Canis lupus familiaris: one gene and its partners. The protein of the gene in region 1 interacts with the protein of each later gene in a biochemical or structural test. Links are inferred from orthologs where the notes say so. Each region holds a gene or a part of one and is shown on either strand. Other genes may lie near its edges.

What was found.
Region 2: the proteins of E2F1 (region 1) and PHB form a complex in vitro, tested with the Homo sapiens proteins (2 studies listed by BioGRID). The link is inferred for Canis lupus familiaris from reciprocal best matches to the Homo sapiens genes E2F1 and PHB1.
Region 3: the proteins of E2F1 (region 1) and RBL1 form a complex in vitro, tested with the Homo sapiens proteins (2 studies listed by BioGRID). The link is inferred for Canis lupus familiaris from reciprocal best matches to the Homo sapiens genes E2F1 and RBL1.

The regions. Positions count from the first base shown.
Region 1 is NC_049245.1:23,405,721-23,409,900, forward strand, and holds the start of E2F1 (transcription factor E2F1), read right to left. Parts: upstream 2,804-4,180; 5' UTR 2,789-2,803; coding exon 2,528-2,788; intron 1-2,527. UniProt on the Homo sapiens protein: Transcription activator that binds DNA cooperatively with DP proteins through the E2 recognition site, 5'-TTTC[CG]CGC-3' found in the promoter region of a number of genes whose products are involved in cell cycle regulation or in DNA replication.
Region 2 is NC_049230.1:25,486,233-25,490,539, reverse strand, and holds the start of PHB (prohibitin), read left to right. Parts: upstream 1-1,502; 5' UTR 1,503-1,539; intron 1,540-3,177; 5' UTR 3,178-3,204; coding exon 3,205-3,292; intron 3,293-4,307.
Region 3 is NC_049245.1:26,323,131-26,327,393, reverse strand, and holds the start of RBL1 (retinoblastoma-like protein 1), read left to right. Parts: upstream 1-1,458; 5' UTR 1,459-1,542; coding exon 1,543-1,698; intron 1,699-1,796; exon of another isoform or gene 1,797-2,452; intron 2,453-2,550; exon of another isoform or gene 2,551-2,689; intron 2,690-4,263. UniProt on the Homo sapiens protein: Key regulator of entry into cell division. Directly involved in heterochromatin formation by maintaining overall chromatin structure and, in particular, that of constitutive heterochromatin by stabilizing histone methylation.

The DNA.
Region 1 (4,180 bases):
TTTGGATTAAAAACATGAAACATTTTTCTCTGGTTCAGTGTCTAATATTCTAGAATCCATTCTAGGGGTAACCTCTGTATGGTATGTGGGTGGAGGACAACCATGGGGGGACTGTTACTATATCTATAAAATGGGGATGATCTACTGTTTGAACATAGAAACAAAGGAAAAACTACAATTTTTAAAATTTAAGGGGAAAAAAAAGCTGTCACAACCATCTTTTTTAAAAAAAAACAGGCTTAGGAAAAGAAAACAGGAGGAAAAATGAATGGTGTTGGCATCCTTCAACTTTTTAGCCTCTTAACTTTTTCTATAGTAAATGTTTTAATTTGCTTTTTAACAGCTATGACAACAGGATAGAGGTGGACAGGAAGTGCCAGGAGGAATGGCTGAGTTGTAGAGTCTTGCATGCTAGAGGTGCTCAATGAATGCTCACTGATGCAGAAGCTGAACCCGTAGCTTGTTTCAAAGACTGCCTCACACAAATGTCAGTGCAGAGGGTCAGAGGAGGCCACAGCTCAATCGGCCAGTGGCTGACCAGAGGTACAAGAGTGGAGAGTCTTGGAGGGGGTGTTTCTGGACTTCAGCTCTGGGGTGGTGCCAGCCCTCACCCCCACCCACCGGCAGAAAATGGATACTAGTGCTTCAAAGCTGTGAGGGCAGAGGCTCCTTCTTTGCCCATTGTCTAGTACCTTTTGGGCAGTTCACTAACTCAACAGTAGAATGGATGGAATGCTCAGGCCCACAAGGCTGCCCCTGACACTGCTGGGGGTGGGGTGGGTACATTTCCTCAGCCCAGTCTCTGGCAGCCCTCTGGGCCTGGAGCTCAGCTTCTACAGCCCCAGGTCGGCTAAGTACTTGTCAGTCAGCTAAATGCAGTTTTCAGGTCCAAGCCCCAGGCTGGCACCTGCAGAGAAAAAAGGCCCCTGGGATAGAGGTGACCCACCCTTAGTACAATCCTCCTCCCTTTACCCATCAGAAGGGTTCCTAACTTCCTTCAACCTGTATTATTAACATTTCTAGGAGGCAAGGCATCCCAGTGGCTAACTAGTTAACAGCTCAGGAAGTCTGGACTGGTCCCACCATTCCACTAGCTGAATGACCTATCATCTCTAGGTCTCAGCTTCCCTATCTGTAAAAGGGGATGGTTGTTGAGAGAGTTAACTGGGTGAAGTGCTTGGCACACAGCCTGACATATAAAACAGTCTCAAAACAATGGTGGCTCCTATTGTTATTATTATTAGCGTCTTGGTGATTCCGGAAGGAAGGCAGAGCTAGGCTGGGCGAGGGGCCAAGGGAGTTAGGGGAGACTTGCCGGGATGCCTCAGGGACCAGCTGCCACCCAGGCCCCCATAAGCAGTTGGATAGCTTCCACCTCCTTGCCCGGGCTCTGCTTCACCCCTCCTACTTGCTCCAGGCCCCCTGCTGAGACCCCCTCCTGCCTGGCTGGCCTGGCCCCTGCCCCCTGCCAGCAGCCTTCCATGCCCCACCTTCACCCACAGGCCCTGACAGTCAAGCTGGTCTCCACGCCCAGTCCTGCAGCTCACAGGTCCAAGCTCCAGGCCTCTAGGCCCTGCTCTCCAGTAATTAAGCAATCTTTTCTGGGGCCCCCAGTCCAAATTGCTCCTGAGCCTCTTGCTGCTCAGGGAGCACTTTATCAAGGCATCTCCCTGGAATATTTACTCTCTCCTGGCACTGGGGGCCTCCACTCCAGCTCCCAGAGGCCCAGCCCACCCATTACTTCCCTGGGGGCCTAGGGGTCTGCCTGCCTGATTAATGAGGCTCCATGGCAACCAGGGCCTGTGAGGGTGGAGGGTGGCAGATGGAAGGACAGGCAGAGGGAGGGGATCAGCAGCTGGCCCAGCCACCCCGCCCCTGCAGAGAAGGCCTCCCAGCCAGGAGGCCTGTCCCCAGAGGCCCAGAGGCCCAGGCCTGCACCTGGCAGTGGAGCATCTAGGCAGGAAGGAGGGTCTCCTCAATGACTCTTTCAGCAGTCTGGCCCCAGGATAGCCCCCTCGACCTCCTCAAGGGGCCCTGTCCACTACCCTGCCACGAGTTCTGGTCTGGAGCCAGCAGGCCTCAGTTCAAATCCCAGCCCCACCACTTGCAGCCGTATGACCGGGGGCAAGTCACTTCCCCTCTCCGGGCCTCCGTTCAGATGGGCACAGTGACAACACTGAGCTCACAGCATGGTTGTGAGTTCTGGCTCGAAGTTCGCCAGAGACCTGGCATGCAGGCAACACCAGCTGAATACACGTGGGCTATTATTACCACTGAGTCTGACCCTCGAGCGGCTCGGGGAAAGCCGAGGCCCAGAGCAGAGGAGCAAACAGCGACTGGCCCGAGGTCACCCCGCATCCCGGGGCGGGGCCCGGAGGCCCAACCCAGGCTCGACCCCGCCCAGCCCGGGAGCCTCGGCCCACCCCCTCCCCCCGCCCCCGTTGCCTCCGGGCCAAAAACCGCGCCCCGACCGGGTCTGCACGGGGGTCCAGACGTGCACTCGGCCCTGTGTCCCTGGTGTCCGTACCGGCGGGCGGCCGAGCGCAGGGCGCGGCGCGCTGGGTGTGGGCCGGGGCGCCTGCGGCGTGGCGAAGAGCAGCAGGTCGGGGTCGCGGGGGCCAGCGGCCGGCGCGGCCGGGCCGGCGGGGGCCGGCGGGGCGCTGGCGTCCTGCGCCGTGGAGATGATGACGATCTGCGAGGAGTCGAGCAGCCGCAGCGCGCCGGCCCCGAGCAGGGCCTCCAGCGCCGGCGCGCATGGGCCGCCTGCGGGGGCCCCGGCCACGGCCATGGCGCTCACGGCCCGCGCGGCCCGGGTGGCAGGCGGCGGCGGCGGCGCGGGCCCATGGCGGCAGGCCGCGGCGAGGGCTCGATCCCGCTCCGCCCCCGGCCGCCGCTGCCTGCAAAGTCCCGGCCACTTTTACGCGCCAAATCCTTTTTGCCGCGAAAGAGCCACGAGCCGCCGAGCGCTCTGACCATTGGCTGTCGGGCCCGTGACGTAGGCGACGGCGACGGGGTCCATTGGCTGCAGCGTGCCGGACCGGCGGCGGTGGGCGGGACGGGGCGTCGGCGCGAGGAGGCGCGGCCAATCGCGGGGCCGGGCGCGCGCAGGCTTTGTCGGGGCGGTGCCAGGAGCTCTCGCACTCCCCGCCCCCAGCCGGGACTGTCCCTACCCCGGGCGTGGTGGCGCGGCTCGCACCCCGACGCCCCGCGGACTCCGGGTCCCGGCATGTGGAGCCCTTTGGGTCAGTGTCCGTTCTGCGCTTCACACCGTATTCGGACCTCCCGTGACCCCCTAGACTCCGCCACCTGTAGCCCCAACAACCTTAGTCTGAATCACTTAGAAACTGCCCTTCCTTTTTTCTATGGTCAGGCCTGTCTCCAAAGCCCCAGCTGCCGCTCCCATCCTCAACTTGCCCCATCTATACCATTTACTTTCAAATCCTGCACCTGCCCTGTCCCTCTCACCCGGAGCCCCAGCAGAAGCGGGCTGTTAGAAAATGAGGAGGGACATCTGGCCCAATACAGCTTGGGGCTTTCCTGTAAGCCCCCTTTTAGCTGGAATCTCTTCAATAGCCGATGCACAGCTTCTGCTTGAACTCATTTATTCACCCATTTATTCAACAAACGTTTTTGAGAGCCTGCTCTGTGCCCCATTCTTAGTTCAGACCTTGAAGAGCTCGGTCTTGTGAAAAGAGAAGGAGAGGAATAGAAGTAACGAATGCTTGGAATATGAGGAGGAATTTCCACCATTAACTCCACGTTAGAGTTCACAAAGGGAGGAGGTAAGGGTGCTGAGCATGAAAATGCAGTTAATCCGGAGGCCCTGGGACCTCTCCATCAGCCATTTCTCATTGCTCAGGTCAGCTGATTTGACCAATATTGTCCTCTCCTCTGTGCCAGGCCTTGTGCCAGCTTTGAGGGCAGAGACGTGAGACTTGATCATTTCTATGAACTTGCCTGCCATCTGGTGGAGATGACCCACGGGGGGGGGGGGGGAGCTAATACACAAACAAGGATCAAATCCCTAAGCCCAGAATATACATGACTTCCTCCAGAGAGCCTCCAGAGTCCTAATTACTCACTTCCTCCATTGCCCAGTGCTGCCTCTGTCCCAACACTGACCACACACTCAGTTTCTCCATCTGCCTCTCCTACTAGACTGGGAGCTCCAACAGGGCCT
Region 2 (4,307 bases), on another chromosome or scaffold:
CTAATATTAGACTGCATCCTGTATGGGGGTGGGGGTGTGTGGAAATTGCTATAAAGTTCATTATTGGGTCAATGGATAAAATTGGAATGCAGAGGATAGGCTTACTTAAGTTATATAAGAGGATGCCCCTATTCTTAGAAAATACACAGAGATAAGATGGGAAATGAGAGAGAGAGAACAAATTAATGGAGGAAAGATGTTAGGGATTGAAGCCGACAGCCAAGAAAGAATTCTTACTACATCTTTGGATATATGAAAGCACAGGGGCAGGACCTGTGGGCAGAAAGAGCTGTACTGGGGTCCTGAGGAGGGGCCCATTATATGCTTTCAAGTTGGGAGGGGGTTAGGGATAGCGTGCGTCTCTATGGAATTTTGGAAGCAGGGTTTCCAGGATCTTGAGGGGGCTGCCTATTGTTGGGAAAAGTCATCTATTATTGTCTAATAAACCCTTAGTCATGAGACCCTTCAGATGTGTATCGGTGGGTCATATGCTTGGGGAATGATTGCCAGCACATATCTTGGGGAGGGGGGAGGGGGGAGAAAAAGGAAATTTCCAAAGGAATTTTTATATGTTAAAGTAGATTTACAGAGTCCTGGGGGTGGAGCTAAGATTCCCTTTTGCCCTTAGCAAAGTATTAAGATGGAGATAGTAGAGCTCTTAGAGGAACATCACTCTGCCTATTTTAAGGACTTATCAATGGACTGCAGGTAGTAAGGAAATTTAATAATTTCTCTTCTGCTTTTGTTACCCACATCACAAATGATAGAATATATGAAACAAAACGTTAGCCATAGATGAATGTAAGGGATATATGTGTTGTTTTATTCTTGCCACTTTTCCATTTTTTTTTTTAATAGTGTACAGGGAACACAGGACTCTAAGCCCAGCCCCTTTGCTAAATTGGTGCATGACCCTGAATGAATCCCTTCCTCTTTTTCTAGAACCTCTTTTCTAAGGTAGTCTCTGGCTGTGGTAACCAATGTCCCGCGACTCAGGACACTTCCTGACAAGGCTTTGGAAAGGTGGCCCCGTGTGCTTCCCCTCAAGGTCTCTAAGCCCACCAGTTATCTACCTACAACTTTCCCCAGGGTGTCCACCCGTCCTCCTTCGTCAGCCATAAACCTGTCCCAGCCCATCCCTGCCGCCACCATCCGCATGCCCAGCGACTCTTCCGAGGGCCCTAAGGTCCACCTTCCTGCAGGCTCTAGCACAGGTTCAGGACAAGCACGTGCATTTATCCCCAAAAAACTACAGCCCCCAAAAGGCTTTGCGACAACCTTTCGACGTTACCCACCAAAGAGGAAAGGCTTTCCAGCGCGGGCCCGACATTAAATGGCTCTTTGGGAATTGTAGTTCATTTGCGAAGACCAGGGGAACCAGGGTGAGGCCGCAAGCCACCCTTCCCAGAATGCACAGCGCTCTTTCCCACCAATCGGAGGCCCGGATCTTGGAAAGGGGGCGGGGAAGAGAAGGGGCTGCCCAGCGCATGCGCGGTACGTGTGGCTGGGGAATTCATGTGGAGGTCAGAGTGGAAGCAGGTGAGAATGGAGGGAACGCGTTCGGCTGGTGTTCGGGCGCCTCTGCAGCTCCGCTCCGCGTTCCCGTTCGCAATTTGGGCGGGCAGGATGCGTGCGTCGGTCTGCCTCGCGTCGGAGGGGAGGGGGGTGAGCCCGGGACCAGCCAGGAATTGCGTCGTGTAAGGGAGGCGTGCATGGGGGCGGGGTGAGGAATAATCCAGAAGCTGTTGGAAATGGAAAAGCTGAGAGGTCCGAACTGTGTGTCCTGGCCTCAGGTTAGGAACAGTGAAGCACACCGGGAGCGATCAAGAAAGCCTCAGATCTGAGAGGGAGGGAGGGGGGAGGATTTGAATCTAAGTGGACGACGACGCTGGGGCGGGGCATTAATAAAGTTGTGTGCGGGAGTAGATTGAAGTTAGGTCCGTCGTGACCTTAGCCCCGCCCTCTCCCTTGCAGTGCATCTCTGGAGAGCCTTTTTGCCCCATTGGTTCTTCCGGTATCTTGGTCCCAGGATGCTCCCCAGATCCTGCTACCATCATAGCAAATCATTCTTTTTTTTTTTTTTTTTCTTCCCAAGACTTTAATTTCATGAGACACGCACAGAGAGAAGCAGAGACACAGGCAGAGGGAGAAGTAGGCTCTCTGCGGAGAGCCTGGTGCGGGACTGGATCCCAGGACCCCGGGATCATGACTTGAGCCAAAGGTAGACGCTCAACCAGTGAGCCCCCCAGGTGCCCCATGGCAGGTCATTCCTAATACTGGAGCGGAGAAATACTCCTCACAGTATGGTGAGGAGTTAAGTCATACCTACCCTAGACTTAGACCTCCAGGTTCTAGTCCTGGTTCCACTACGAAATGGCTTTGTGATCTTCCGCTTATCTTGTAAGTTTGCTGTGTGCCTCGGTTTCCTCATCTGTAATAACCTGCTTCATAGGGTTTGGTGTGAGGGTTAAATAATTGCCATTAGAAGACTGCCTCCTGGTATTAAAGGTAGCTGCTAGTGTCACTTATGCTGTTGGAATCACCATGTAGCACATTCTTTGAGTTACTTTTCCAAACCAGAATTGCACAGACCCTACCATATACAACCTTCGTCTTGGGGCCCACTTGTCCAGGAAGTGGAAGGGTGGTTTAGTGTGGTGTGAAATTCTCTGTGGGTAGCAAGCCCATACCTCATTCCTGTTATTGAATCAAGTGTCCCCAGACCCCTTTTCCTTAGTGGTAGAAAAAGAAAGAAGAAATGGAAAAATTTTGAAAGCAGAGGAATTAATACTGCACTTTTCCAAGCTGTAGAGTTATTTATTAGATGTCCCTCCATGCGAGATTTAGAGCTTTGAAGAATGGGGAAATAGGGGCACCTAGGTGGCTCTGTTGGTTAAGGGTCTACCTTCAGCTCAGGTCATGATCCCAGAGTCTTGGGTTCGAGCCCTGCATTGGGCTCCCTGCTCAGCGGGGAGCCTGCTTCTCCCTCTCCCTCTGACTGCCTCTCTGCACAATTGTGCACATGGTTCTCTCTCTCTGTCAAATAAATAAATTCTTTTAAAAAAAAAAAAAGTGGGGAAATAAATAGCCAGTTTGAGAAGTGAATATGGTGTCTCAGGGCTTTCTCTTAGAATTTTGAGATCAAGATGTTTTGTTTGTTTTGTTTTTATCCCATAGGTGTGAGTGGGTCCAGCAGAAGGAGATATGGCTGCCAAAGTGTTTGAGTCCATTGGCAAGTTCGGCCTGGCCTTAGCTGTTGCAGGAGGAGTGGTGAATTCTGCCTTGTATAATGGTGAGGTACTGGGGGAAGGGAGTCACTGCCCTTTGTCGGAGGATTTCTATTGGCTTGCACAGCCGATGTGACACTCCTGGTGGCCACCACTGTCTGTGAATATGTTTGTGACCCAAAGGGTCACCTGCTGCCATCCTACACCATATGGTTGCATTGTCACTTGAGCCTCTGTCCTGTAGCCATTGGTTCTCTCACAGCCTCTCTTCCCAAAGAGCTTCCCAGCCTACTTGTTGGTTAAACATTCCCAGTTGCTCTTACAGGTTTGAAGTGATGCTGCAGCACAGTGTCAGGATCTCACTGGTGTGAGGATTAAATAATTGCTGGCTAAATTAAATAGATTAAATAATCTCACTGGCTAGCTGAAATGGAGATCTCACGTATCCCCTTCTGCTTTGTGTGGTCACCTTTGGTGACCTTACCTGAGCAGGAACTTTTACTCTGCTGCATTTGGATCATTCCAGACAAAATACCTGCATTGTCCAGCCTGTTTTTTTTTGTTGTTGTTGTTGTTTTGTTTTGTTTTGTTTTGTTTTAAGATTTAATTTATTCATGAGAAACAGAGAGAGAGAGAGAGAGAGGCAGAGACACAGGTGGAGGGAGAAGCAGGCTCCATGCAGGGAGCCTGATGCAGGACTTGATCCCAGGCCTCCAGGGTCACGCCCTGGGCCGAAGGTGGCACCAAACCCCTGAGCAACCTGGGCTGCCCATTGCCCAGCTTTTAACAGTGAGGCAGGAGCTTAAGCTGACTTTTCTTCTGTGACCTTAGGCAAGCCATTTCCCCCTCTCTAGGTCTCAGCTTCTTTTTTGGTCAAACAGTAAGACTCAACTGGTTTTACCTCTAAGACTGCTTCCAACTCATATTTTCTGACTTTCATGGTTGGGAAGCAGCAGTAGATTGATCTGCCTCATGTGTGACTGTCTGGCAAGAGGAAGATTACTTTTCAGAGTGAAGATATTTGGAGCAACTCTGAAGTCTAATAAGGCAGAGACAGCAGCTGACAAGAAAAGCTTACTT
Region 3 (4,263 bases), about 2.9 Mb from region 1:
CCACCATCTCCACACCTCTAGTCTCTACTCCATCTGATCTATGTGTCCCACTGTAGCCAGAGAGACATTCCCAGAATGCTATGGGTCATTTATCACCTCTTTTCATTAAAACCTCCACTGATAACGTCTAGGCTTTTAGTAGGGTATATGAGGTCCTTTGTAACCTACCTTGACCTATCTTCCATTTTCATCTCTGGTGACTCCTTCCCTCATCCGGGCATCTTTGTAATTTTTCAAACACACTTTGTGAAGTACTGAGTGCCAACTATGAGCCAGGCGCTAATCTAAACTTCGTAATACAGTGAACATGAAAAATAGGTCCCTGCTCTCATGCGATTCACATTTTAGTAGGAAGAGCCAGTGAATAAACAAGATAATTTCAGATAGTTATAATGGTGCTATGAAAACCATGAAATGGGATGTTAGGGGGGTGGGTCAGCTAATTTTAGATAGTGCTCTGGAAGGGCCTGGGAAGGTAATACTTAGTTGAACTTGATGACAAGGAGCCGGACAAGCAAAGACCTGCTATAGAGTATTTTGGGACCGACTGATCAGCATGTGAGAAAGGCCTTGAGGCAAGAACTAGCTTGGCTGCTTGGCATTTTCAAGGTTCCAAAACTAAGCAGTGAGGCTGCACCTTGTTATATACTTGGGTGGGGGCAATGAGGTGAGGCCAGATCACAGGGGCCCTGTGGGCCACTGAGTTTGGATACGATTTTAAGGGCAAGAGGAATCTACTGAAAGATTTTGAGCTAAGGAGTGACAAGGTCTGGGCTCTTCCAGTGAAGGGTTTCAGTGGAGCCGAAGTATAAGCTTGGGAGACCAGTTGCATGCCTTCAGCCATGCGCTCAGGCCATTCCCAAGCCTGGAATGACGGCCCTTCGGGGAGCTGATTACTGCAAGTCTCTCAGCCCAGGTCAAGCCTAGTTTGCCTCGCCAGCCCTTCAACCATTCAACAGATCACTCACGGAGCACAGGAAAGCGTCCCGAAGCCTCCCGCCGTCACAGAACCACTTTTTTCTGTTCCTGCCTCCGTCTCCTAACTCAAGGGGCAAGGCTCAGTCAGACTATGTTTGGCGGGACGGTGACAAACCCAGGCCCGAGGGTTAGTGGTACAGAGAAGGCTTCTCGGTAAGACGATGGAGGCCCAAACCAAAGAGCCGGTTAGACCAGGGCGGCGCAGCGGGCGTCAGGACAGGCCACGGACTACAATTCCCAGCAGACTGCGCGCGCCGGCCGATCCCTCCGCACCAACTTACTCCGCCGGCTGGGCTCACCGCTGCCCGCCAAGGACCAAACTCAGGGCTTTTTTTCTGGAACTGAGGTCCATCTTCTTATCACAGTTCCAGAGCGAGACCACCGAGTGCCTTGCAGGAGAAACGGACTTTTTTGAGGAGAACTGCGGATGCAGACTGCCGGAGAGACGTCGCTCTGAAGCCGCCGAGTTTCGCGCGCTTTGGCGCGGGGGGTTGTGGGTAGCGCGCCCAGGAGGGAGAAAGGAGCCGGGGGGCTGTGACCGCGCCGCCCGCGGGGCCGGAGGGGATGTTCGAAGACGACCCGCACGCCGAGGGGGCGGCGGTAGTCGCCGCGGCCGGGGAGGCGCTGCAGGCCCTGTGCCAGGAGCTGAACCTGGACGAGGGGAGCGCGGCCGAAGCCCTGGACGACTTCACCGCCATCCGGGGCAACTACAGTCTAGAGGTGAGCGGCGGCAGGTGGGCGGCCGGACCCGACCCCCGCCAGGCCCCACCCCCGCCCCGCCCCTGCCCCACCCTGTGGGGCGGTGGGAGTTTACCCACCGGGAAGGGTCGCGGCCCCGCCGGGCGCCGCAGAGTGCGGAGGGGGACGGGCGCGCGTAGACACCGACTATCCATTTTCTTTCTGAGGCGGGAAACCGAAGTCCGGAAGAGGAGCGGCTAGTCCGAGGTCGCACGCCCCCTCGGCGGGGGAGGGGTGGGGGTTCCCTAGACTCCGACCAGCTTCGCTTCGCCCAGCCGAGCGCCGCGGACATCACGATAGCGCCTGTAAATCTATTAAAAAAACAAAAAACAAAAAACAAAACAAAACAAAAAAACCAAAGAACCAAATGCGGGAATGCTAAGAGCTGAAGTGAGCTATAGTGCTGACATCACCGCCCAAGCCCTTTAAACACGTCATCTCGGTTCTCGCCACAACCCGGAGAGCCCGACCCGTGACCCCCATCCCACGGGAGCGCCTAAGCTACGTGGCCAGGGGCGCGCGGCTGCTGGTGGAGCCGCGCGGGGAGTCGGAGCCTTCGGACCGCTCCCTCACCCCGCCCCGCGGCCTCGACGGGAGGGCGGAGGTGTGCGGTGCTGGCCTGCCCGAGAGCGTTCAGCAGGTGGGGCCCAGCCCTCAGCCCGCGCCTGGTCCCGCCTCAGGGCCCTGAGGCTTAGCGCAGCGCCTGGCTCTGAATAAGGTTAGTGTGGCCGGTCACTACCGGATTCCTCACCCCACGCCCACGCCCCAGCCCCGCCCTCGCCCTCGCGGGAGTCCTCACAGCCGCCCCGTGAACGTGGTAGCGCAGTATTGTACCTGCTCTCCGGGTAGAGGACTGGCCTGCCTGTCCAGGGCCATTCTGCTGTTTGTTATAGGAAGCCAGTGTAGACGTAGGAATGGGATTTATTTCAGCACTTCACTCTAAAATTCAGAGGCTTTCCCGCACAATCTGACTCACCGGGTAAAATAAGTAATTCCTGGGTTCAGAGGCATGTAGGTGGGTACGTGGAGTTGAGCGTGTACGTGTGTCTGTTACACGAGGCGGGAAAATACCTAAGAGAGACACTCTTACATGTCTCTGGGATAGGACCGGGTAAACTGGATACAGGACAGCGACCATCCATGGGTGGCACGGCTCAAGAAAGAATAAGAAAGTAAGGGGGGGATTATGGATTATGCCTACTCAATGAAAACAAACTAATTTTTAAATGCCTGAGAAGGTGTTTCTGACTTCCCAAGTCCTCTGTCATTGAATAAACATTTACTGAGTGAAAACTGTAGTCCAGGCATTAAACTAGGCACTCTTTCAAATTCTTTTTTTTTTTTTTTAATATTTATTTTAGAGAGCACGCAATGGGGAGGGATAGAGGGAGGGGGGCAGCCGACTCCGTGCTGAGCGGGAGCCCAATACAGGACTTGATTCTAGGACTCTGAGATCGTGACATCAGCAGAAACCAAGAGTCGGAGGCTCAACCAACTCGAGGCCACCCAGGTGCCCCTCAAATTCTTGAATATACCAAGTTTCTTCCCACCTGTGTGTTTTCTCCATGCCATTTGCTCTGCCTGGAAACTTCCCTCATCCCCTACAACAGGCTATTTGAAGAACTAAGTCTCAAGAAATAAGTCAGCTAGGTGGAGTTGATCAGGACATCTTAAATGTTTGATTTAGAAAACAGACGTGTGAGGGACGCCTGGGTAGCTCAGTGGTTGAGCATCTGCCTTTGGCTCAGGCGGTAATCCCAGAGTCCTGGGATCAAGTCCCACATCAGGCTTCCTGCAGGGAGCCTGCTTCTCCCTCTGCCTGTGTCTCTGCCTCTGTGTCTCTCATGAATGAATGAATAAATAAATAAATAAAATAAATAAAACACAGATGTGTGAATTAAGATTTGGTGACCATTTATTCTATCCTATGTCTTTTGTTCTCCTCCTCCTCTTTTTTTTTTTTCCTTTTGATTGTTTTTGGTGAAATGCTCTTGAAGTAGGTATTTTCATGTATCTACTGTTTCTTAAGCCCTCTCCCCAGCTCCTACCCCTTTCAGTATATTAGTATATCCCACTTACCCCCTTGTTTATCCCTCTCACCCTCTTAGATTTTGGTGATTCTCCACTCAACCATTTTAAGTCTCCCTCTGAATCCTCCTCTGACCTCTACTCAAAATCAGTTACTATATTCTCATACTTTATCTTCAATTCTTACAACATATATCTCACCAATTATAGATAACCGTTATCTATTCCTTTTCTTAACTCTAGATTTGGAATTACAGAGGTCAGAAACCATCTTTGTATTCTAAGGTCTAGTATCAAAGAATTAAGATAATATAGTTGTTTTTTTCTAGGACAAAAAGCAAAAATATCAATATTAATTTTTTTTCTATCTTAATGGTGTTTTCATCTAGTAACCTGTACCCAGAAGCTAATACTTGGATGTACTTCCCCAACAATTATTAATCAAGGTATCTAAAAATATGCAACCATAAGCTTACATGTCTCATTTAATACCTTGAGCATGTAAGACTTCTCACTACA